Linked DNA regions of Arabidopsis thaliana. The protein of the gene in region 2 interacts with the protein of the main gene of each other region in a pairwise test. Each region holds a gene or a part of one and is shown on either strand. Other genes may lie near its edges. The genes, in order: AT3G52640, ARGOS, PIN5 and AT1G66760.

Evidence for each region.
Region 1: the proteins of ARGOS (region 2) and AT3G52640 interact in a protein complementation assay, tested with the Arabidopsis thaliana proteins (one large-scale study listed by BioGRID).
Region 3: the proteins of ARGOS (region 2) and PIN5 interact in a protein complementation assay, tested with the Arabidopsis thaliana proteins (one large-scale study listed by BioGRID).
Region 4: the proteins of ARGOS (region 2) and AT1G66760 interact in a protein complementation assay, tested with the Arabidopsis thaliana proteins (one large-scale study listed by BioGRID).

The regions. Positions count from the first base shown.
Region 1 is NC_003074.8:19,514,068-19,522,608, reverse strand, and holds AT3G52640 (Zn-dependent exopeptidases superfamily protein), read left to right. Parts: upstream 1-2,064; 5' UTR 2,065-2,191; intron 2,192-2,266; 5' UTR 2,267-2,318; coding exon 2,319-2,403; intron 2,404-2,493; coding exon 2,494-2,607; intron 2,608-2,691; coding exon 2,692-2,806; intron 2,807-3,367; coding exon 3,368-3,450; intron 3,451-3,598; coding exon 3,599-3,675; intron 3,676-4,076; coding exon 4,077-4,154; intron 4,155-4,772; coding exon 4,773-4,844; intron 4,845-4,946; coding exon 4,947-5,020; intron 5,021-5,118; coding exon 5,119-5,251; intron 5,252-5,358; coding exon 5,359-5,430; intron 5,431-5,516; coding exon 5,517-5,636; intron 5,637-5,854; coding exon 5,855-5,926; intron 5,927-6,032; coding exon 6,033-6,173; intron 6,174-6,363; coding exon 6,364-6,980; coding exon of another isoform or gene 6,981-6,984; exon of another isoform or gene 6,985-7,266; coding exon 7,267-7,531; 3' UTR 7,532-7,736; downstream 7,737-8,541. Other genes in the region: AT3G52660 (RNA-binding (RRM/RBD/RNP motifs) family protein), read right to left, coding at 1-11; AT3G52630 (Nucleic acid-binding, OB-fold-like protein), read right to left, coding at 8,013-8,077, 8,167-8,425. UniProt on the Arabidopsis thaliana protein: Probable subunit of the gamma-secretase complex, an endoprotease complex that catalyzes the intramembrane cleavage of integral membrane proteins such as Notch.
Region 2 is NC_003074.8:22,126,962-22,131,261, forward strand, and holds ARGOS (auxin-regulated gene involved in organ size), read left to right. Parts: upstream 1-2,543; 5' UTR 2,544-3,079; coding exon 3,080-3,472; 3' UTR 3,473-3,511; downstream 3,512-4,300. Other genes in the region: AT3G59910 (Ankyrin repeat family protein), read right to left, coding at 3,818-4,300. UniProt on the Arabidopsis thaliana protein: Promotes cell proliferation-dependent organ growth. Takes part in the AXR1-dependent auxin signaling pathway that requires ANT during organogenesis.
Region 3 is NC_003076.8:5,398,241-5,403,772, forward strand, and holds PIN5 (Auxin efflux carrier family protein), read left to right. Parts: upstream 1-2,399; 5' UTR 2,400-2,494; coding exon 2,495-3,156; intron 3,157-3,664; coding exon 3,665-3,750; intron 3,751-3,843; coding exon 3,844-4,001; intron 4,002-4,155; coding exon 4,156-4,232; coding exon of another isoform or gene 4,233-4,236; exon of another isoform or gene 4,237-4,313; coding exon 4,314-4,386; 3' UTR 4,387-4,605; downstream 4,606-5,532. Other genes in the region: ZFN3 (zinc finger nuclease 3), read left to right, coding at 5,197-5,254, 5,353-5,513. UniProt on the Arabidopsis thaliana protein: Auxin transporter regulating intracellular auxin homeostasis and metabolism. Mediates the auxin transport from the cytosol into the lumen of the endoplasmic reticulum. May also act as an auxin efflux carrier when located to the cell membrane.
Region 4 is NC_003070.9:24,899,758-24,905,310, forward strand, and holds AT1G66760 (MATE efflux family protein), read left to right. Parts: upstream 1-2,124; 5' UTR 2,125-2,352; coding exon 2,353-2,601; exon of another isoform or gene 2,602-2,679; coding exon 2,680-3,224; intron 3,225-3,420; coding exon 3,421-3,507; intron 3,508-3,593; coding exon 3,594-3,650; intron 3,651-3,743; coding exon 3,744-3,982; coding exon of another isoform or gene 3,983-3,987; exon of another isoform or gene 3,988-4,073; coding exon 4,074-4,279; coding exon of another isoform or gene 4,280-4,297; exon of another isoform or gene 4,298-4,390; coding exon 4,391-4,456; 3' UTR 4,457-4,686; downstream 4,687-5,553.

The DNA.
Region 1 (8,541 bases), 2.6 Mb from region 2:
GTCCTTGACATCTTAAATATCTAGAAAAGAATGCTTGCAGTACAACTGTGGAGGAGACACAGAAGCAAGAAGCAAGTGGGGAGAGAGAATAAAACCGAGGAAAGGTTGGAAAAGAAACAATAAGAGGCCAATAGAAAAGAAGAATAAGAAGTTCGAATTGACGCTTTGCCATAATGCGGCTAAAAAGGTGACAAACAAATAGACAAAGAGAGAAGAGGGCGATGAAATGCTCAACAGGTGAAACAAAAAAAGATAAGAAACGAAATGACCCCTGAGAGCGGATAAAAACCATGATATCATAGGCCTTGGTTAGATGCAAAGAAGGTTAAAATATTCATGGCAACAAGAAAGATAAGAAGGGCTAAAGTCAAAATAGTATCTTTGCTTAGAAAACTCCAGCTCCATGTTAGAATCTCCCACAACAGACATTGTTCAGAATTTGCAAGTGATATTTTTTATGCTGCCAATCTAACCTGTTAAGAGAATCCTCAGCTTATAACTACAATTCTATTTGATTATTTCACACAAATTGACCACAATGATAGATACAACCAAGAACAACCCAATACACATACAAAGCTATAACTCAGAGAAATGTCAATCAAAGGCGTGTTTAAGCTAACTTAGCAATCATTGGAACAAAAATGAGAGAAAGATTCAGTTTTTAATTAAGATAAGAAGAGTTACACAAATCCCAATTTTGGATCCCCAACCAAAAAAAAAGATTCACGAAAGGAAACGAAGAGAGGCGCAATGAGATGAAAGAAGAAAGAGCGAGAAAGTACCTGAGAGAGCTGCCGGAAGAAAACCCTAATTTTGAGAATTACGGAGAGGATGAAGAAGTGTCTATCTTCGCGCACCTCAGGTGTTGAAAAATATGTATATGTGTATGTTGTATTGATATGACCTAAAAGATGCCTAAGCGAGACTATCAAGGAGGTGTAGTCACTTTTTATTATGATGCGACCAATCTTATATTACGGCTTATTACCGATCTTAATATACGACAAATTTGATTTTTATGCAAAAAAAACTTTCAAGTTGGATGAGAATTTGCGCCTTATATTTTTTTTACACATTGTTTTCAAAATTAACACTAGTTTTTTCTTAATTAACATGCAGTTTATACATGATCTACGTTATTTGTTAAAATCACATATGGAATAATTTCTTTAAAATTATAGTTTTACCATATACAATATGTTTTTTTTTTTATCAATTTTTAGCCAAAACTTGCCTATATAATCTAGCAAATAATACCCTAATCAATCATAATTAGTCTACGATTTTGTAAAAATGAAGCCATAAAATGTAATACAAATTTCTTACAAAAAAAAAAAGAAAATGTGGAATGAAAATATTTTTTCTTTTTGTATAAACAACTAGATTATAACCCGCGGTACACCGCGGAGACAATTATTTTTTAAAATTAGTATATATAAAAGTCTGTAAATTATATTTATCTATAAAATATTTATATTTTATAGTTTACAATTGTTATTAAGTAACATCCTTCCAAACCCGTTCTGCCAAACCCGTCCCGTTAAAAAAATTTGTAGTACACCGCTAATTTAAAAAAAAAAATTACGGGATTGCAATTATATTTTAGTTTGTCAAACAAATTTTTGTTTTAAATAGTTGTCGAAATCTAATTCAAATTTTGGAGAAATAAGATTTAGTGAACTGATAAGAAATGTATTTATGTGCGTTTTGCTCATTTTAAGGGATTGCAATTGTATTTTGGTTTGTCAAATATTTTTTGTTTTAAATAATTTCCGAAATCTAGTTCAAATTTTGGAGAAATCTGCGTGATATATGGGATTGGAATATATTTGGAATATTTTTTGTTTGTTAATCAATTTATTGCTAAAAGAAAATAAATAAATAAAAGCCAGTGGCAGCCATTGTAAATAAGTTCCAAATCTAGGATTTATTTTACAAAATGGCTGCAAAAATATATATATAGATAGGTTCACTTAATTACTTTTAATATAATAAAATCCGCACAAAATGTGAATACCTCAATTTTTCTATATCTTGGGAATTTTGAAAGACATAAGAATCAACACGAAAAATCTCAGTCTTTGACTCAGACTCCCACCGCGTAATTCCGAGCTAGGTTTCCATTTCTCCGGCGAATCGGACCTCTCTCTCGCTCTCTCTTCCAATTTCCCCTTTTTTCGTTTCCCAGGTACTGCTTCTTCCGATTCTAACATTTTTTGATCTTTTATAAAATCGGTCACATTATTCTTGATCGTATCTGCAGCGATGATTTGCAAGTAGCTTCCGCTAATAATCGCAACTCTCTGACGGATGCTATGGCAATGGGACTTATTCGTCTTCTTTCTATAGCTTTTACACTTGTTCTACTTTCAATCCTTCCTCTTCATCTCTCTCTCGCTGGTGAGTTTCCTTTCCCCGGATAAAATTGGTGATGAAATGTATTAGTTGATAGAACATTGTAATCTGAAATTGAGGTTTCGTTTTGTGTAGATGAGATAACATCTATTGAATCTGTACCTGACCTTCAGAAGCTAATGTATGTTGCTGTTGATGGGTTTCCTTGTGTACGTCTTCTCAATCTGTCTGGAGAGATTGGATGTTCAAGTAAGCTTCTTTTGGGCCTCTCAGCTACATGATTTTTATCTGTTGATGAGGTCCTCTAAGTTTTATGTTTATAAAAATACTCAGATCCTGGAATAAATAAAGTGGTGGCTCCAATCATAAAATTAAAGGACGTTAAAGATTTGGTTCAGCCACACACTATTTTGGTTACAGCTGATGAAATGGAAGATTTCTTTACCAGGCATGTCTCCTTTTTCATTTACAAAACTTTCATGACCTCTATTCGATTTTGTTAGTGATCTCTTAATTTGTGGAGTAGTGCTTTCCCACTCGCTTGTAGTTCTCATTTTGGTGTTTTATTTAACGTCAAACAAGATTTAGCTTTTGGGTGCCAAATCAGCCTTTTTGGAAAGGCAATTACATCCTTAAGAATAACGTATATCTAAGAGTTTGTTTTCATTAGTACTTGAGTATTTAAGGCAAACACTTTTAGTAATCTTCCATGACAGTGAAACAACAGATTGGAATGAGTATACCCTCTTATCACCATTTTTGAAATCTGCTAGAAATGTAGTCACTTGGTTGTTGGTGCATGGATTAGGTGTTTAGTGGAACCAGTAATTCATTGGCTTTTTCCGCTTTATTTTCATTCGACTAACGGAAAGTAGGTATACCTCCAAACACTTTACTGTAGAACCCTGCAGTCTGGCTTACTTCTGGCATTGTTCATTAGACTTGTACATCGCTTAGACACTCTATTCAGTAGAAATAACAGGACCACTCCTCTTTGTGCCTTTTCCAGGGTGTCAACTGATTTGAGCTTTGCTAGCAAAATTGGTGGTGTTCTAGTTGAATCAGGATCTAATTTCCAACAAAAGTTAAAAGGTACTATGTCCATCCACATATTTATGATTCTGTCAACTTGAATGGCTAATTCCTTAAATTGTCTTGAGTTCTTAATTCCCTTAAAAATAGTACTTGATACTTCTTATCTATGTTGATGGCGTTAGTGTTTCTTTCTTCTTTATTGTAGGGTTTTCTCCTGATAAAAGGTTTCCTCAAGCCCAGTTTTCACCCTATGAAAACGTTGAGTACAAATGGAATTCAGCTGTACGGTAGCGTAAACTCTGTCTGGATCTTTGAAATTACTTCTTCCTGTCAACTCTTTTATAGTGGGTTGGAAATTGTTTCAATCAGTTATCACCAAATCCATAGTCAAGCATTTCCGAGTTATATGCTGTTTTCTTCTGGAACTAAACTTAACTACCTGCTAACACACAAATACCATAAATCCTTTTCTTATGGTATAATTTTACTGGAGGAATGCATGTATCTGCCTAGATGATCACTTATAAAGAAGTTCAAAAATCTGTTGCATATTTATCTACCTTAATTAAAAGATAGTTCCTCTTATTGTTATCTACGGAGAAAAAATGATTTTGATTCTTATGAGTAGTTGCAGGCGATAAGTCTCTAGCCATTGACCATTGCTAAAAAATGATTATTTGCAGGCATCAAGCATCATGTGGAGAAATTATAATTTTCCTGTGTACTTATTGTCAGAAAGTGGCATATCAGCTGTGCATGAGGTAATCCTTCAAACTTGCATTCTTTTGCAAATTTTAAATGTGTCTATTTGTGTTGTCAGAAAAGCGAAATTGATGACATTTTTAGAAATATGAGGAAATGAACTCAAGGCTTAGAGAGGCATTATGACTGTTGGTCACTCTTAAGAGCAGTATTGCTTGATGAAAATATGGCTGTAAAATGATGCATGAGATATGTATCTCCAAGGTCATATGAAATGAATACTCCTAGTTTAAACTGAATTAGTCTGCAGAAATTTTTCTAAGCATTGATTACCCATTTTAAATAAGAATACAAATTTGGTCCTGGAATGTTTGTCTCATCCAGCTGAAGGCAACTCCCAGCTGCATCTGTAGATTTCAAATGCATGTTGCTTTCCATAGCCTGTAATTGGACTCAACCATAGCCTTTCCATTTGTCTTGTGGTAGTTGCCTTTAAACTGCTGGTCAACTATGTCATTCTATAGTATGTTGTTGTCCTTACCAGATGAGGTTCTGTCAAGAAGCTAGCTTTATGTTTCTGTTGTGTTGGTAGCAATCTAAAGTGTATAGTTTATGTGGATAGCTTCACTTTTTTCAGGTTATCGACTACATATTTACATCCTATTATATTTGCGCAGATCCTTTCCAAGAAAAAGATGAAGCATGGAACATATACCAGTGATGTTGCTGAATTCAATATGGTTATGGAGGTATATGGCTTTAGCAATCTTGCTCACTGGAACGTTAACCAGCTTTATGGATCTTCACTTTGACTTAGATTATGACACCCAATTCTCTATTTTTTGTATTAGACTACCAAAGCTGGAACACACAATTCGGAGGCTTGTTTGCAGGAGGGAACTTGCCTCCCATTGGGCGGATATAGGTAAAGATTTAGGTCTTTATTACTGTCTGATCTAATGACATATGAAAACCTTTTAAAGGATACGTTTCGTTTTCTAACAACTTTGTTATGAAGGACAGTGTTTGGTCCTCGCTTCCACCAATCAGTGTTTCGTCTTCCAACAATCGCAAACCAGTTGTGCTGACTGTGGCCTCCATGGATACTGCATCATTTTTCCGTGACAAAAGTTTTGGTGCAGATTCACCAATATCTGTGAGAACTTGCTATTTTCTGCTTTTGGGTTGATCTAGAATACATTTATTTACTCTTCTTATTCTTCTTTTCCCGATTTATTGCTCAACACGTTCTCCTTCTTTCAGGGTCTGGTAGCTCTTCTAGGAGCAGTTGATGCTCTTTCTCGAGTTGATGGTATTAGTAATCTCAAAAAACAGGTGCCAGTGTACCATGTGATTTAGTGTTATTTCACGCTTTTTGTTGTTTGCAAGCTTTAATACATGTAAATCGTAAATGAATGCAGCTTGTGTTTTTGGTTCTGACCGGAGAGACATGGGGTTACCTTGGCAGCAGGAGGTTCTTACACGAATTAGATCTGCATTCAGATGCTGTCGCAGGCCTTAGCAATACTTCGATTGAAACGGTAATCATTATTGTTTTGGTCTGACAAAGTTGATAGAGACAGCTAGCCTTATGCATGAAATCCCTGTGGAAAAAGTTGCCTGTGTTTCATCGTTGCTGCAACTTATTTGTTTCTTAGTAGCGCAGAAAGCAAGTTTAAGTGTTCCTTGTGAAATTGAATGTTCACAATTTTCTAAATCTAAAGATCGAATTCAGATTGCTTCTTCTATTATCTAACAGGTGCTTGAAATAGGATCTGTTGGAAAAGGTTTAAGTGGAGGGATAAACACCTTCTTTGCTCATAAAACAAGGGTGAGAAATTCCTGATATCCTGAAACTCTTGCATAATTCGAATTCGTTCGATAATGTGAAAACTGTCATAGGCGACTTAACCTCCACTTTTGGTGTTCTGCTTTAGGTTTCTTCAGTTACAAACATGACACTGGATGCTTTAAAGATAGCTCAGGATTCACTTGCATCAAAAAACATCAAAATTCTTTCAGCAGATACTGCAAACCCTGGAATACCCCCATCCTCCTTGATGGCTTTCATGAGAAAGGTACAATATATATTCCAAGTAAATAGATGGGAAGACAATTCAAATGTGTATTCGCACTATACTCTTTGCATATACTTCACCTTCAGTTGATCATGAATATGACAGGAGAAGTATACTTGCTTACTATTATGTGATTCTGAACCAGATTGCCTAGAGTGAAAAAGGTATAACATCATATTCATTGTTGCAGAACCCTCAGACTTCAGCTGTTGTACTTGAAGACTTTGATACCAACTTTGTGAATAAGTTCTACCATAGTCACCTCGATGACTTGTGTAAGAAGAGTCACAGCCTGTCTTTCTCTTCTTTTCGCTCCAAACCCCATTTTGCACTTTTGATTCCTTTCTGGTGTTGTATTGCAGCAAATATCAACTCCTCGTCTGTAGTAGCTGCTGCTTCTGTTGTGGCCCGAACACTTTACATCCTAGCAAGTGACAACAAAGATACAAGCAATTCAGCTCTGGGATCCATCCATGTCAATGCTTCTTTCGTTGAAGAGCTTCTAACCTGTCTTTTAGCTTGTGAACCGGGCTTATCTTGCAACTTGGTAAAAGACTATATTTCACCGACAAACACTTGTCCAGGCAACTATGCTGGCGTCATCCTCGGAGAACCTTCCTCCAAACCTTACCTTGGTTACGTCGGTGATGTTTCTAGATTCCTATGGAACTTTCTGGCAGATAAAACATCTGTCCAAAAGGGAAATACAACCTCAGTTTGTTCAAAAGGAGTCTGTAGCAAAACTGACGAAGTGTGCATCAAAGCAGAGAGCAACAAGGAAGGAACATGTGTTGTCTCCACAACCAGGTAAACTCTGTGCTTGGAAATTGCAATTTGGTTTGCATGCTCAAGTTCTCTCTTATGTCTCAAAATGAACCAAAATCTTAAGTCTGGTAGGCATTTTATAGGAATTATTAATTAGGATAGGCTTCAGAAGTGGAGTGTTTTTAGACTTGGGAGAAAGTCTATCTTTAGTTTGTTGACCTTTGAATTGAAGCTATCATCATTTTCTTCTTCCCCTGACCTGATATGTTGTATGTGACCTAACCAATTTGCTGTCTGAGCATAACACATTAAGTTCTGGTTTTGGCAGGTATGTTCCAGCTTATTCAACTCGATTGAAGTATAACGATGGAGCTTGGACAATTCTACCACAGAACTCATCAGATTCTATGGGGATGGTTGATCCAGTGTGGACCGAAAGCAACTGGGACACTTTAAGGGTGCATGTGTACACAGTCCAGCACTCAGCATACGACAATGCAGTCCTCGTTGCAGGTATTACAGTCACAACGTTGGCTTACATCGGAATTTTGGCTGCTAAGTCAATCATCACAAAAGCCTTGAAGCAGGACTGAGACTTGTATTTAATTCCCTCTCCTCTCGGCTCAAAATTACTTGTCAGTTTCCGTAAGACATTGCCTAACCAGCAACACCACCAATACCTTAGTGGTAGAAACCTTTTTTCTCAACCAAGGTTATTAAAATATGTCTTTGAGCTAATTCATGTTAAATTCTTTATTACACTGGCAAGAAATTTATAAGAAAAAAGTTTGCTTTCACAAAATCCTATAGATAAAGCAACAATACAATTCTAAATCCAGAGCAAAATCTTAGCTGCCAAGAAGAAAATAGTGTTTTGTTTTGTGTTTTGGTACCTCAATTAACAAAACAGCAATTTAAGCTTAGTTGTGATAGATTAAGAAGTTGTTACATATACTAAGTAAATAAAATCATAGAACCAGAAAGTGGTGAGACATCAAATACATATAAAGCATAAGCATCTCTACAAAATGTTTTAATGGAATCGCTTCCATGATCATAATCATCATCACAACATTAGATGAACAAGTGCTTGAACTCCCCATTTGCTAGCTTACATAGCTCGTTGTAGTTCTGTGTATCTGCAACCAAAAATAACAACCAAAACATCAAAACACAACTCAATAGCAAATCTGATAAACTCGACACAGTAATGGAATCACTAAATTACCAAAAGTGTTGCCAAAATTGGTCCAAGTTTCAGCTCGAATAGCGTTATCACTCTCTGCAATTCCAATAACCTCAAGGTAAGTAGTAAGAGGAGAAGGAGGAGACGATCCTCTAACAACGATCTGAAGATCATCAGTAGATTTGCCAACCACAGATCCAATCTCTGAACCAGTCACTTGAATCACAGTTCTGACTTTTTGGCCAATGAATCTCCTCAACAAAGCTCCGTTCACAAAAGCTGAAGGACTTGAAGTATCCATTGCTATCTACTGTTCAAAGATTCAAAAGCGAATTGGTAAATCAGTTTCGTATTCAATAGCAAAGATAAAGGGATTAAAAATTTTGAAAACCAGGAAATCGATTTTGAGAAATTCAA
Region 2 (4,300 bases):
ACATTGTTTTTTTCTCGTCATTCGTTTAATTTCCCTTTCAATCTGTGATTTTTAATTAATTAAAGCTTGATAAAATGAAAAGGTTTAACCCATAAAAGTAAGTATACCTATTCTTGTCTTTGTCACTAAGACATACAAACTTATGATACTCTGAACCTAATCATACTCCTAAATTTTGGAAACCAAATTATGAACACTTTTCAATTAACTTGTTTCATGATAACATCACTCACGAAAACGACCATTAATCCTATTAGACCAACCACAATAAGAGATGCTTGTCGGGGAAAGAATTTCAAATAATTTGGGTTAAATTTCCACAATAACAAAATAATTTGTATCAAAGGGGATTAAAAAAAACAAAAAAAAAAACAACAAACAAAATAATTTGTAATCTTTTTTTTTAAGCAAACAAAAAAGGGGATTAAAGAGTCGTACGAGGAATATTAATTAGGCAAGTTGGTTTGGTCGAGACTCGAGAGATCATGCATTGAATCAAAGGCAAAGAGCCACGTGACGTTTACATGTGGTTCGATCCTCAGTGTCTCATCGATCGCCTTTCTCCTTACAAATCAACCAAATTATACTGTAGTAATCTTTTTCTCAAATTATACTGTAGTAATCTTTTTCTCAAATTATACTTAGTATAATAATGGAATAATATTTCACAAGATAATAATCGAATAATATTATCAAATCTAAAAAAGCTGACCAAAACAAAAATCTTTAAAATTCGCGAACGTTATGAAACTGAGCATATGGACCTTGTTATTGAGATTATTGTAATGCATCAAGTGTCTAAGAATTAGACCAAAACATATGTCTATGCATATTGACTGTCGAAAATCAATTAAATTAGAAGTAGGGTATATAAAACAAGAAGAAGCAATATTTAAACATGACTGACTTATTAGTAAGACAGAGGGAATAATATTATGATAATACTTTTTTTTCTTGAACTTTTTGATACAGGTCCACTGGACACCAATCTAAATGTGTGCGGTGTTCAAGGCAATAATCATGCATGGGTTGCCATATATACACACCTACATCTTAACTTTCCACCATTATTTACTCATCTAGTCTTCAATAAACAAATTCCATTACTAATTAAAAACGTACAAATAGAGATGTTTAATCGTAATACTGTATATCTATCCAAGAACAAACACACAAGTGAACTGAATTTTAAACTGATTAATTCTTTTGTTTCCAAAGAACTTAAAAGGAAGTACTTTTATTTAAATAAAAAATAAATCTTAAACCGCACCAAATAAGTTTTGGTTACTAGTGTATACATTCAGTGAACATTTTTATGAACCCATATTTTAGTAAAAGTATTCTCTTGATTGTAGAGACAAACACTAAACACAAATAAATTGATTTTTTTAGTTGAGCTTATGCTGAGAAGATCCATTTGACAATTTTCTTTCCTTTTTTTGGTCAACGATTCAAGGAGATCCATTTTCTCATCCCTAAATATACGATTTTCGTATCTGTAGAGTAGGAGTAGAAACTAGCGGATCTTTCGATATAAACATTCTAAATTATTAATTTAGGGTTTGTCATCCATGCAAAAAACTTTGTTGGTACACGTCAAATAGTTTAATATCTGAAGCTGCAGTCTTCGTATATTGTTAATTTGGCCTAATTAAAGTAATGCTGCACAATTAATGTGGATAACTAGTGTTGTAGTATTGGTAATCTATCAATTCTCCCAAACTACTCATCGGCTTTTTTGTATCTAAAGGCCAGGAAAAAAACTAATAAAACCACTTGACGTTGTTTCTAAAGGAAATGGCCTATATGTTTCTCAATTCATTGAACCATGAATTATATTTATGGGATTAACTATATTTATATATTAAAAGTAACAAGTGATTTCCGACTGAGTTACTAGCGAAGTCTATTTGCTTTAATTCATCATTCTGTGAGAATTCATCCTCTGGCGATATAAACATCTTGGCTTTATTAAAAACCATCCTCTCATCAAGACTTCACATGCAAAGCGTGTTGTCACGTTACTATGTCCGATCTCCATATACACGTAAATATATAAAAATAGCATCGTGAATTAATTTGAAAAACATTCCTAGCTATTTAACTTGGCTTTATATATAGAAATATGAGAGCATATACATATATTGGCCCAACATTTCCTGGTAGAACAAGCGCATTCACCATATGAAGTGCTTCGAGAAGAACAACACTATGGGTCCTTATTTATCCATAAACATCGACAAAATTATTGGTAGGTACGTTAATAAAAATAATTTCCTCATCGCATCAAATATTTGATTATAAAATTTTAAAAATCAACCTGTATATTAATAACTGGATGATTCAAAATAAACTAGAAAATTATTTTCTTAAAAATTTATAGAATGGTAAAAAGATGGTTTTAAAACTCATTTATTTAAATACTACTTACATATTCAGATCAGAGGAGATTGTAGCTTACGTCATATGTTATATAAGTAAAAGAAATGGTAGAAAAAGTAAGAGAAAAGAAGACCAGGGGAGAAGAACCTTGTGATTGTGGAGGAAGACTAGGCCACACGAAATTCAAATCTTTCAAATTCAGCAACTTGCTTCTCCTCACATTTGTCAGCCCCTTTATATAATAAACGTTCCTCTTTTTCGTCTTTTCAACATATCAGAAAATCCCTAAATTCACTGAACCCTCTTCTCTCTCTTTCTCCCCCCATATCTTCTGATTCTCCTCCAACTCCTTTATTAATAAATTCTCCTCTTTCATTGCTACTTGTCTTCCTCATTTCCCTACTAGTACTTGTTTCACACAGTTTCTTGATCCAACCAAAACCAATACACAAAGCTTCTCAAACTCCTTCACCTCAAAGCTTCTTCCTTTACATCTGAATCGTTGAGTTAACTCGGATTTGTTCTGCATCCTCTGTTTCTGAATCGTGGGCCATCCTTATTTTGTCTCGAATTCTTCACCAATTGCTTCGATCAAGCTGCATTGGTTAACCAGTTGCCCTAAAGATCAGATCTTTGAGCAAAATTTTGTCACTGATCTTCTAAATCCAAACCAGACACAGCAAAACAACCTCTGTAGATGATTCGAGAAATCTCAAACTTACAAAAAGATATTATAAACATTCAAGACAGTTATTCGAACAACCGAGTCATGGACGTCGGAAGAAACAACCGGAAAAACATGAGCTTTCGAAGTTCGCCGGAGAAAAGCAAGCAAGAGTTACGGCGGAGTTTCTCGGCGCAGAAAAGGATGATGATCCCGGCGAATTATTTCAGTTTAGAGTCTCTGTTCCTATTGGTTGGTCTAACGGCATCTCTGTTAATACTTCCGTTAGTTTTGCCGCCGTTACCTCCGCCTCCGTTTATGCTGCTATTGGTTCCCATTGGGATTATGGTTTTACTCGTCGTTCTTGCCTTCATGCCTTCTTCTCATTCTAATGCTAATACAGATGTAACTTGCAATTTCATGTAAATCTGAAATTTATTATATGATGATCTTAATTAATCTTAGGGTTCTTAATCCAATGAAATTGATATACAATATAAATGTAAGTTATAAATATTACATTAAATTATCATAATATATATATGTGAGAATACTTCAACGCACAATAAGAGAAATGGAGGAGAAGAGACTGACATAATATAGAAGCATCATAAGAAGAAATTATACAAAAAAAAAAAAAAAACCTCACTTCGTCATCTCAAACCCAAATCCCAATATCCGTTAATTTAAATCGTAGTATTTATTTGCTTATTTTCAACTATTCGTAGAAATTAGAAAACCAGTGAAGCCCAAAAGCAGAATCCATTTGTTTCAATCGAAAATGGCGGTAAGGTGATGCTCCAAAACCGCCATAAGGTTACGAGTCTGGCTTACTTCCACAACTGCAACAGCACAGCCTTGAAGCTGTCTCACTGCTTCTACAAGCTGTCCTCTTAGCCTCTGAGACAGTAACCGACCGTCCGCTTTCATGCACTCTCTGTACAGCGGCATGTACGCTATTGCTACTCTTAGCGGTGCAGGAAGGTCTCTTAAGGATATCGCTGACTCCCCTTTTTTCAAAACTCTCATGAAATTCATGAAATCGTCATGGCTTTCTCTCATTCCTTTCTCAAAAGCTGACTCCGACCAGTGTTCTTGGAGAAACGATTTTAGATCTGAAGGAACGGATTCGTCTTCTGATGACCTTGCGATGCTGTCTGCCACTGAGTATGTAGCCGTGGAATCTCCTAAGAAGTCTGATTTGAGAAGAAACTCTACTCCTTGGAGAGACCCTCCGCTTCTTTCTCCTGCTGC
Region 3 (5,532 bases), on a different chromosome or scaffold from region 2:
GGAGGAGTTTCCTCTTTTCATAAGTCTAAAGAACAAATTTGCCTTTAAGAATAATTCTTCTGTGTTTTTTTTTAATATGGAATTTGAATGAAAGATTAGTGTGTGGATATGGATAATTAATTATATTTAAAAAATTATGTAATATTGATATGTTTGTAGTTTGGTTTCCCTTTCTATTGGCTGCTATTTACTTCATTCTTTCAATGATTGACGTTGAACTTCTTTTCGACCAAAATCAAAACATCCTCTCCTTTATGTATAACTTTGTTTCTTCTGATTTGATTTGTAACATTAACATGATTACATTTATATATAGTATATAATACGTAACCATGCATTTAACTTGGTACTTGGATTCGTTTATGAAAGATTGAAAGGAAAACGAAAGTTATATGATCACTACTCTTGAATTCGAACTCTAATTTAGGAAGAACAGTATAAACCCCAACATATAGTGTTTTCTGGTCTGAAAAACTTTGATTGTTTTGTTTTTGTGGTTTGGGAAAAAACATCAACATAATATTCATGACGTCAAAAGTACAAAACAAATAAGATGGATTTTGAATAAACTTTCCAATCGTGCTAGCTAGCTATTTCTGACATAATTCAAGAAGAATAATGAAAATATGTCACACAAAAACAAAAGTATTAACGATGAATGAATGAATGAGAGAAGACAAAAACCTTTTTGATATTAAAAAGACTGTAATATATATCAACACATCAGGAGAGAAATTTGAAAGCATATTATAGATTTGTAATCATCAAGTGATAAATAGAACTTATTCTACTAGCATTATTATTCATATTTATATATGATCCCTCAATTTCACCAGTGAATAAGCATCCTCCACGTTTTCACAGATTTCTAATCCACCGATTTTAACTTTTGTTCCATCAGTCAAATCCCCCTTTTTGTTTTTGTTTTAGTCCGACTATATATATTTGTTTGCTTATGTTTTTCTATTTGTTCCAAATCTTTGGTAAAGATAGGTGTTTCCATAAAATGTTATTATCAAATCAAATGATAAATAAATGCTTTCCAGATCATTTTATGCCTCTGCATGATTCTCTAGTAATTAGATCAAATCAATTTTCTCATCATGAATATGTGTAATAGAAAAGACTTTGTGAATGGACAATATATATGGTTACAAAACAAAAATATACCATAGAATTAAAAAGTGCTAATATGATGATATTGCACCTAGCAATATGTGTTGTTGTGATTATATTAGAGTCCAGAAGGCAAATAATAAATTTGTTGTCTAGCAAGAAAGGACAAGAGCACGAGGTACAAATTTTTCTGTAAACTTTTGTAGTTCTTGAATGGCTTCCTCAATCCTCACGATGATAGATTTTTCGCTAGCTCGTAGTATAATATGGTTCTTTGATATTTTAACAAAGAAGAAAGACATGGCCATATGATTTTTTATCGAACGAAACATAAAAAACAACGTAAAACATGGTTTAAGATAAAAGTAAGTAAGTTATTTGTAGACTTCTCTATCTATCTATATATTAACATATTCTAAAACCCATGACATGTTATTTCTTAAACCATGAATATATTGAAACATTCAAATCATCACTAGGTATAAGTAAGTGAAATTCATTTTCTTATAAGAAATCTCTCTTTGTCGGTTATGAAATTGGTTGCTATCGCCAGGTCGTAGGGCACAAATACCCATTTCGGCATATATACAAACTATTCCATGCACTTTACTTATATTACATGCACTAGCATAGTTCTGCTCCCATTTTATGAAAGTGGTTAATAAATATAAATATTAAGATTAAGAAAAAAACGATTAAGCAAATATTTCGAATAAATTATTGAAAATATATTATTTGGTTAGTCTCATGTGTTGTGGCGACGAGTTACGACAGCCAAAAACATATATTGGTCGAGACGATCTTCTAGTTATGGTGCTAAAGCTGCAACCTCATTCTTTATTCTGCGACATTACCATTAATTAATATAGTCAAATATTGAAAGAAATGTTTACGTCATACACAAACACTACACTCACTATTTACAGGAAACAATTGGAATAGAATCATATGCCACGGCACGGTCTGGTCAATTATATTGATAACGATAACTCTCTTGTTTCTCAATTAAACTAATGGCTAAAAATATGAGGTTGATTTTAATTTTTTTATCTAAATATTTAGACTCAAATTTCAATTGTATCTATTCTATAGGAATTTAGCCAAATTATTTATAAATATTCGTAATCATATTCCGAAGAAAAAAATATTATTGTTTAATTTATATCTAAACTTTACTTTTGTTTGAATATTACTCATGGATATCTCATTACCTATCTTTTTTCTACAACAAATAAAACAATTAAAAATTTATCTATAAATATGAACATGTTGGTTTCTCTATCGTAACACATTTACTATCTACGAACGAATTTAGAAGCTTTGTTTTCTTTCCTTTCGTTTGCTACTACTGCAACATTTCTATTTTTCTGATAAAACCATGATAAATTGTGGAGATGTTTACAAGGTAATCGAAGCAATGGTTCCACTCTATGTAGCCTTAATCTTAGGCTATGGCTCTGTGAAATGGTGGCACATCTTCACGCGTGATCAATGTGATGCTATAAACCGTCTCGTTTGCTATTTCACCCTGCCGCTCTTCACCATTGAGTTCACGGCCCATGTCGACCCGTTCAACATGAATTACCGGTTCATCGCGGCCGATGTCCTCTCTAAGGTCATCATAGTCACGGTCTTAGCGTTGTGGGCCAAATATAGCAACAAAGGAAGCTATTGTTGGTCCATTACTAGTTTCTCTCTATGCACTCTTACTAACTCTCTTGTCGTTGGTGTGCCATTGGCTAAGGCAATGTACGGACAACAGGCTGTTGATCTGGTGGTTCAATCCTCGGTATTTCAAGCCATCGTGTGGCTCACACTCTTGTTGTTTGTCTTAGAGTTTAGAAAAGCCGGATTTAGTAGTAATAATATCAGCGACGTACAAGTAGACAACATCAATATCGAAAGTGGAAAAAGAGAAACTGTGGTTGTGGGAGAGAAGTCGTTCCTTGAGGTCATGTCCCTCGTTTGGTTGAAGCTTGCAACGAATCCAAATTGCTATTCTTGCATCCTTGGGATCGCATGGGCTTTTATTTCTAACAGGTAAAAATGAATCTTTAATTAAACTTTATATTGGTACCTATAAGATGTTTAACAAAGTGTTAATTAGTATGTGTGATCAGGGACTCAGGAGACTACATTAATTCCACCCCTTACTCCGAGGCAACCGTTAAAATTGCCTAAAAATATCTATAGTTTGACGTTTAAACCATCTAAATTATTACTTTTCTGTGTAGCGCCTGATGATCTATAGTTAAAATTTTGACAGAAATATAGGTCACGATTGTTTCTTTGCATTTGCGTTTATATTTCCATGTGACAAATGACTAGGACATTTTTAACATGGTAACATAATTTGCAAACGTGACATGTACATGCAAATAAACTAATCATGATTTTAATCTGAATATTAGAGTCTTTGACCAAATTTCTATTTTATTTGTTTTAGTGTGAATTTTGGGTTTAGGGTTTTGATTAGTGTTTTGTATACTCTTGGCTAACAAATAAAGACTTAAGTCTAATAATTGATGGAAATTAATTGGAAATATAGATGGCATCTGGAGCTGCCGGGCATATTAGAGGGTTCGATTCTTATAATGTCAAAAGCAGGAACAGGAACGGCCATGTTCAATATGGGTACGTTTATTTATGTCCATGCAAGTATCTTTCTATACGTAAAGATTACGTATCAGTATTGAGATAACAGTGAATACATGCATATATACGCAGGAATATTCATGGCACTTCAAGAAAAGTTGATAGTATGTGGAACAAGCTTGACTGTGATGGGAATGGTATTGAAGTTTATTGCCGGACCGGCGGCCATGGCCATCGGCTCTATTGTCCTTGGCCTCCACGGTGATGTCCTCCGCGTAGCCATCATTCAGGTCATAAATTCTACTTTATCCTTTTGTACCCTAATTCTACTGAAGTTTGTATATAAAAAAAAAAGTAGATCATTTTCCATTCATTCATCCACTAAGATACTAACTTTATATTTTTCAGTTTAATATATCATTAATATTTATATGAAATTTACAGGCTGCTTTGCCACAATCGATTACTTCGTTCATTTTTGCTAAGGAATATGGATTACATGCAGATGTTCTAAGCACAGCGTAAGTCCAAATTTTAAAAATTCAGTCTATTTAAGAAGAAAATGGTAATATGAAATTAAATTAAAATTTTGATAAATGTAGGGTGATATTTGGGATGTTGGTCTCTCTACCTGTGCTCGTCGCCTACTACGCAGCTCTGGAGTTTATTCATTGATTAAACTAATAAATTCGATTATATCATCAATATTACCCTTTGTTCATCTTTCACAAGTTTTTTTTTTTGTTATCTCTTTTACACTTTCCTCCTAAAGGAGATTTTGAAGTATATTCGAGATATGAAAACCATTAACTGAATGAATTAACCTAGTTTATGCTTAATTTTATACTTTCTTAAGCTCTCTTTATTTTCGTAGTATGCATAATTTAGTATTTTGTTCACATATACGTATCAAGAAAAGATAAAAACTCTATAAATGAAAATACATCATGTTCGGATCTAAAATTGTTTTAATACGTACACTAAATATTATAAGCCCTTTTTTTGTTAACAAAAAAAAAAAAAGAATAAATGAAACGAAATTCAGGTTAGAGATCAAATAAAATCTTGTTATTATTTGATTCATGATCATACATACTAACCAAATCAGGATTTATGAAATAAATTATTCTTTCTCCTCAACCGAATCAATATGAAGATAAAAGGGGTAATTTAGTCTTTTCGAATTCGTTTTTCTTACCGAATCTCTTTAGTTTTTTTTCTTTCTTTTGTGTGGAGGAGAGAAGAGAACGCAACACTTTCTTCCCAATCTCTCTCTGCTTTCTCTCTCTAGACGTGATCTCTAATTCTCTAATGTCTTCCTGCATTGCCATTTCCTCTAACCCCTCCACAATCGGAGGAAGACGATTCCTGGGAGCAAGAGAAACGATGGGACTTCCCATCGGAAAATCTCTTAGAGTGAGAGAATTATGGTGTGTTCTTAATGCTTAATAATCACCGACACAGCCATTGTTCTTCATCATCTCCATGGATTTTGATTCCATTTCTCGGGAAAGCACTTTTCTTTCCCCATTGCTTAACCAAAGTACCATCCTTTATTCCCTCTCTGATGTTCTGATTCAATCTTAAAAACCTCAGCTTGAATTTTTGTTGTGGGGTTTTGGTTGGGTTTGTGAATTTTAGATGCAATGTGGCAAATGAACTTGGGATCAGATGATACAATGGGTGTTGATGGGTCTTATCCGGAACGTCACGGAGAGCCAGATTGTGCTTATTATATAAGGACTGGACTTTGTAGGTTTGGTTCAACTTGCCGATTCAATCATCCTCACGACCGGAAACTGGTACTGACTCTGTTTCTGT
Region 4 (5,553 bases), on a different chromosome or scaffold from region 2:
TTATAACTTTTAACTTTATAAGTTATACTTTTATTTAGTTTCACAATAAGTGTGGTTTAATTCTTACAAGTTTGTATCAAAATAGGTATTGTTTTATATTTTGAATGTAGTTACAGTATTTGGTGAAATTGCAATTCTATTCTTACTATTTTAATGTATTGACCAATAAAAAAAAGTTGTATAATATATTAATAAGAGATAAACAAAAAAAATGTTTTTACTATATGTGAAGAACCTGTAAATGACATTGTGAATACATATATTCTCGGTTATAACTTTTAACTTTATAAGTTATACATTTCTTTCTTTTCACAATAAGTGTCGTTTTAGTGTTAAAATTTTATTTCAAAATAAGTATTGTTATTATTTTTAGTGTAGATATTTGGTAAATATTCAATTTTAATGTATTGACCAATTATAAAAAATTGTATAATATATTAATAAGCGATAGACAAAAAAATCTAATTGTTTTTTTACTATATGTGAAGAACCTGTAAATGACATTTATACTAAAACGTAAAAAGTATGTATGATATATTGAATCAAAAATAATACTAGTAATCAGTAGTTAAGTTACATCTATTTTGTTAACGAAATAGTAAAAAAAAATGTCATTAAGAGACGGATTTATTATTGATATCAAGTAGAGCAAAATTTGTTTGTTTAGAAACACAAACAAAATCTTAACTTTGGCGGTTTAGTCTGACTAATTTCAAATTTATGTTGTGGAGTATATAAAGTCGATAGTACTTTTTAACAATGATTTTGAAAACTAAAACTTTATGTTATTGGAGTATTATCATGGATTGGAGTTTTTGTCAATGAATTAACATGGAGATGTGGATTAGGTTAGGTTCATCGAGATATGTATTTAAAGTTGAAACATGTGTTTTATTATTATTCTTTTCATTTATTTATTTTTTTCTTTCTGTCGGTCAGTATTGAAACATGTGTTTAGTTTCATTTGTCCTCTCAGGCCTCAGCATGTCTAGTCTAGGAGTATTCTTTATGTTTCAAAATATAAGAGGTTTTAGTTAAATATGCAGATTAAGAAATATCCATTTTTAAAAAAATTCAACCATTCATAAAAATATCATATAATATAAATAATTATAAAATATTAAATTAATCTATAGTTATGTTACACAATTTACATAAATCACGCTGTCATGAGTAGTCTTTTTCATATATCATCTATTGACAAAATAACAATTTATCTTGTTGTTCTTTTGAAAACTAGCTATTACTACATATATTATACATTTTTTTTCTCATAAGTGGTTTAACGCTGACAAAAAAAATCTATTGTAAGATGGTAACCACTGAAAGCCATCTTAGGTTCAATACTTAAATAAATGATATGATATTAAAAATATTGATCATGGACCGATGTTTATCGATTTGAGCCAATGCAATCAATACGAAGAGAGACTTTTATTCCTTATTCTTTAGAAATGTATATCTCATTTTATGACTAATTAAATAATAACTGATGATCAGTATGTGGTTCTATACATTTAAAAATCTTCTAATTCAGTTTTTTTTTTTTTTTTGGTATCGATGTTAAGTATTTATACCGTTTTCAAGTTTGAGACAGAATACAGAGTAAACAATAGAAGCAAAAAAAAAAAAAAAAAAAAAAAAAGGGAGAAAGACTACGACTAAAGGAACTACGAATACAAGAGATAACACGATAAGAAACACAAAGCGAAGCAACTAGTAAAGGCTTGAAGAGGAAACACCGATTCTAATTCAGTTTTCATATCTGTTTGATACTCTTAAGGTATTATATTGTTCTGTGTTCCAGTTCTATCTCATGCTAATCAAAAATATTGTTAATACCACTCTTGCCTTTTTCAAGAACCGACATGATTTTTAAGTTTTAACCACAAATGTATTTGATTGGTAAAAGGTTCTAAAAAGTTTCAACAACTCACAAAGCCTTAAAACTGAACCATTCATGTTTTACTTTTCTTTTTAAGGCTATACAACCAAAACAAACTTTATGTTGTCTAATTAATTTCTCTGGCATAAAAAAAAAAAAAGACTCCACAACTAAAATCTTTTAAGTACAAACTACAAATAGGAACCAATTATTAGTTACTAGTTAGGATGCATCTTCTTCTTACACGTGCTGAATTCTATCTTTTGACTTAAATGAGTGAGATGATAAAAGTCGAAAACGATTTCGCTTTTATACGCGGAAGCGGAAACGTGTTTATTTTCTTTTCTTCGAGTCGCGACGTCGCATATATTATTTATCAAAATACAAATTTTATTATATCAAAATCATAAAGCTAAATAAATACGACACAACTTCCAACATTTTCTCTAACCAGAAAGAAAAAAAAAATGAAGAAGAGTATCGAAACTCCGTTATTGTTGAACACCAAACAATCACAAGACGAAGATAAAGAAAAAATAAGATGGGAGAAGATGAAGAAAGTTGCTTCAATGGCTGCTCCAATGGTCGCCGTGAACATGTCTCAATACCTTCTTCAAGCAACTTCTACAATGATCGTCGGTCACCGGAGCGAACTCGCTCTCGCCGGAATCGCTCTAGGAAGCTCCTTTGCTAATGTTACCGGCTTTGGTGTTCTTGTAAGCAAGTATATGAACCTTTATATATATATATGTATTGGATTAATTTGTTTCTAATTATTGTTGTATACTATATAGTTTGGACTTTCAGGTTCATTGGAAACACTATGTGGTCAAGCATATGGAGCAAAACAATATCACAAGCTTGGATCTTACACTTTCACTTCAATAGTTTTCCTTTTGATTATCTCTGTTCCGATTTCGATTCTTTGGATGTTCATGAACCAGATCTTGCTGTTGCTTCATCAAGATCCTCAAATAGCAGAGTTAGCTGGTGTGTACTGTCTCTGGCTGGTACCAGCTTTATTCGGTTACTCTGTTCTCGAGTCGTTGGTTCGATATTTTCAGTCACAAAGCTTGATTTATCCAATGGTCTTGAGCTCTCTAGCTGCTCTGTCTTTCCATGTTCCTCTCTGTTGGCTAATGGTTCATAAATTTGATTTTGGAGCCAAAGGAGCGGCTGCGTCTATCGGTATCTCTTACTGGCTCAACGCGGTTTTTCTTTGGGTTTATATGAAACGCTCTAGTCGTTGTGTCGAAACGCGGATTTATATGTCCAAGGATGTTTTTGTTCATACAAATATCTTCTTTCAATTTGCCATTCCTTCTGCAATGATGTGTTGGTAAGTATGTACAACTTTATTAAAAATCCATATAGAATTAACCAAGTGATGGTAGTCTAGTGGTGGTCATTGTTTTGTGGATAGGTGAAAGATTTAAAATCTTAGGTTACATAAATAAATGTGTAATGGATTTTTTTTCCCTTCACTAATATTCTATTGACACTTATTTTCTTATTGCTCTTGCTTCCTTCAATAGCCTTGAGTGGTTAGCTTTCGAGGTCATTACTTTGCTGTCTGGTCTTCTACCCAACTCAAAGCTCGAAACATCGGTTATTTCGATTTGGTAATGTATCGAACCGCAAAACTATATAATCTGTGATACTTATATTTTCTTTCATTTTCTAAGCCTTAATTTTTGGGATTGAGCAGCCTCACGACCTCTTCATTGCATTACAATCTAGTAAATGGAATTGGTGATGCAGCAAGGTTTGTTCTTACTTTAATACTCTTACATCGAATTTTCACTTCATTTTATTTTCGAAGAATTAATGTTTCATTTTTTTTTGTTTCGTTGGTTAGCACCAATGTGGCTAATGAGCTAGGAGCTGGGAATCCGCGAGGGGCTCGTGATTCTGCTGCGGCTGCAATCATAATTGCAGCTGTTGAGTCAGTTATTGTGAGCTCTAGTCTGTTCTTGTCTCGCAGTGTGTGGCCTTATGCATATAGCAATGTGGAGGAAGTAATTAGTTATGTGACTGATATCACTCCTATTCTTTGTATCTCAATCCTCATGGACAGCTTCTTGACCGTCCTCTCCGGTTAGCCTTTCTTAACACGCATCTCCGGTTTTGCAACCATGTTATTATTTTTTTGTGAACGTGAACCGAATATATGTTTTGTTTTGTTTAGGGATTGTGAGAGGAACAGGGTGGCAAAAAATTGGAGCTTATGTGAACATAACCTCTTATTATGTCATTGGTATTCCTGTTGGACTTCTATTGTGTTTTCATCTTCACTTCAATGGGAAAGGACTTTGGGCTGGTTTAGTCACAGGATCAACATTACAAACTCTAATCCTATTTCTTGTTATTGGATTTACCAATTGGAGCAAAGAGGTGATTGTAACCGCGTAACTCGCTTTTTTCTGTTTCTAATCCATCATTCGATTTTTCGAGAAATCGAGCTAATATTTGTTTACACATTTTTTCTTCAATGAAATTTTGCAGGCAATTAAGGCTAGGGAGAGAATTGGTGATGAGAAAGTTTGGAGACATGACTCATTGCTTAATTGAAGAAAAAAAGAAATACAAACTTTTGGGGGATTTTGATTGCTTCTTTTTTTGTGTGTGTTTGTGCAATAACCTTCAGTTGATTGTAATTTATATTGAAAGTACATTATAGTCTTTCATATGATATTAGAGTGTAAGAAAGTTTGAAAATATATCTCAGTTAAAAAATGATCTGGTATATAATAGATGAATTAAAGAGTGACCAAAGTTGATTGGTTCAAGCTTAAAACTTCTATACTATAAAGTCTATAATACAACTTTACGTGGCCAAAAAACAAATAATGAACCAAAGAGAGAGTATCTTGAAAGGATATACTCAAAGAATTAAAGAAGTCAAAAAGCAAATTTGAATACTTTCTCCGACAAGAGATGCTCATAAGAGTCAAGGTGAGTAGGTAATTGTTATGGCAGAAAACACGTGGAAGCAACGACACGTCATACATAATATTGAAGATTAACAAAAAGTTAAATTAAATCAACATCAATCCAAGAAACAAAAATGTATGGACTTGCAAAATCAGTTATACAATGAGGTGAATCCAGCCTCGCAGAAGTCCATGTTCAAGTCCAGTTTTGCACCAATATAGTATATTGGTTTCATGGACGTAAGAGTCTTGTCAAATGAATCCAGCCGCGCATCAGTCCATGTTCAAGTCCAGTTTTGCACCAGTAAATTGGTTTCACGAACGTGAGAGTCTTGTTAAATGAATCTAGCCTCGCTTCAGTCCATGTTCAAGTTCAGTTTTGCATCAAGATATTGATTTCATGAACGTAAGAGTCTTGTCATGGAACTCCTAACAATAAATAGATTGACCCATATCATTTTTATATTACGTTCTCGGTTACATCACACTTTTAATGTTGGATTCCTGATACGCCTGCTCAAGAGGAGGGGTTTTCAATTATATTTCAATTGAACCTCATTCTAAAACTAGCAATAAACCCAACTTGGTATTGAAACTTAAATTTTGGGATGTTACGTTGGACATTTTTCCGAAAACTAATTTTCGGCAAATTTGTCACTCGAAACTACATTGAGAACGTTGGATTCATCTAATCTACAAGCACTATCTTTGTAGTTTGTAGATTGTAGTGTATAC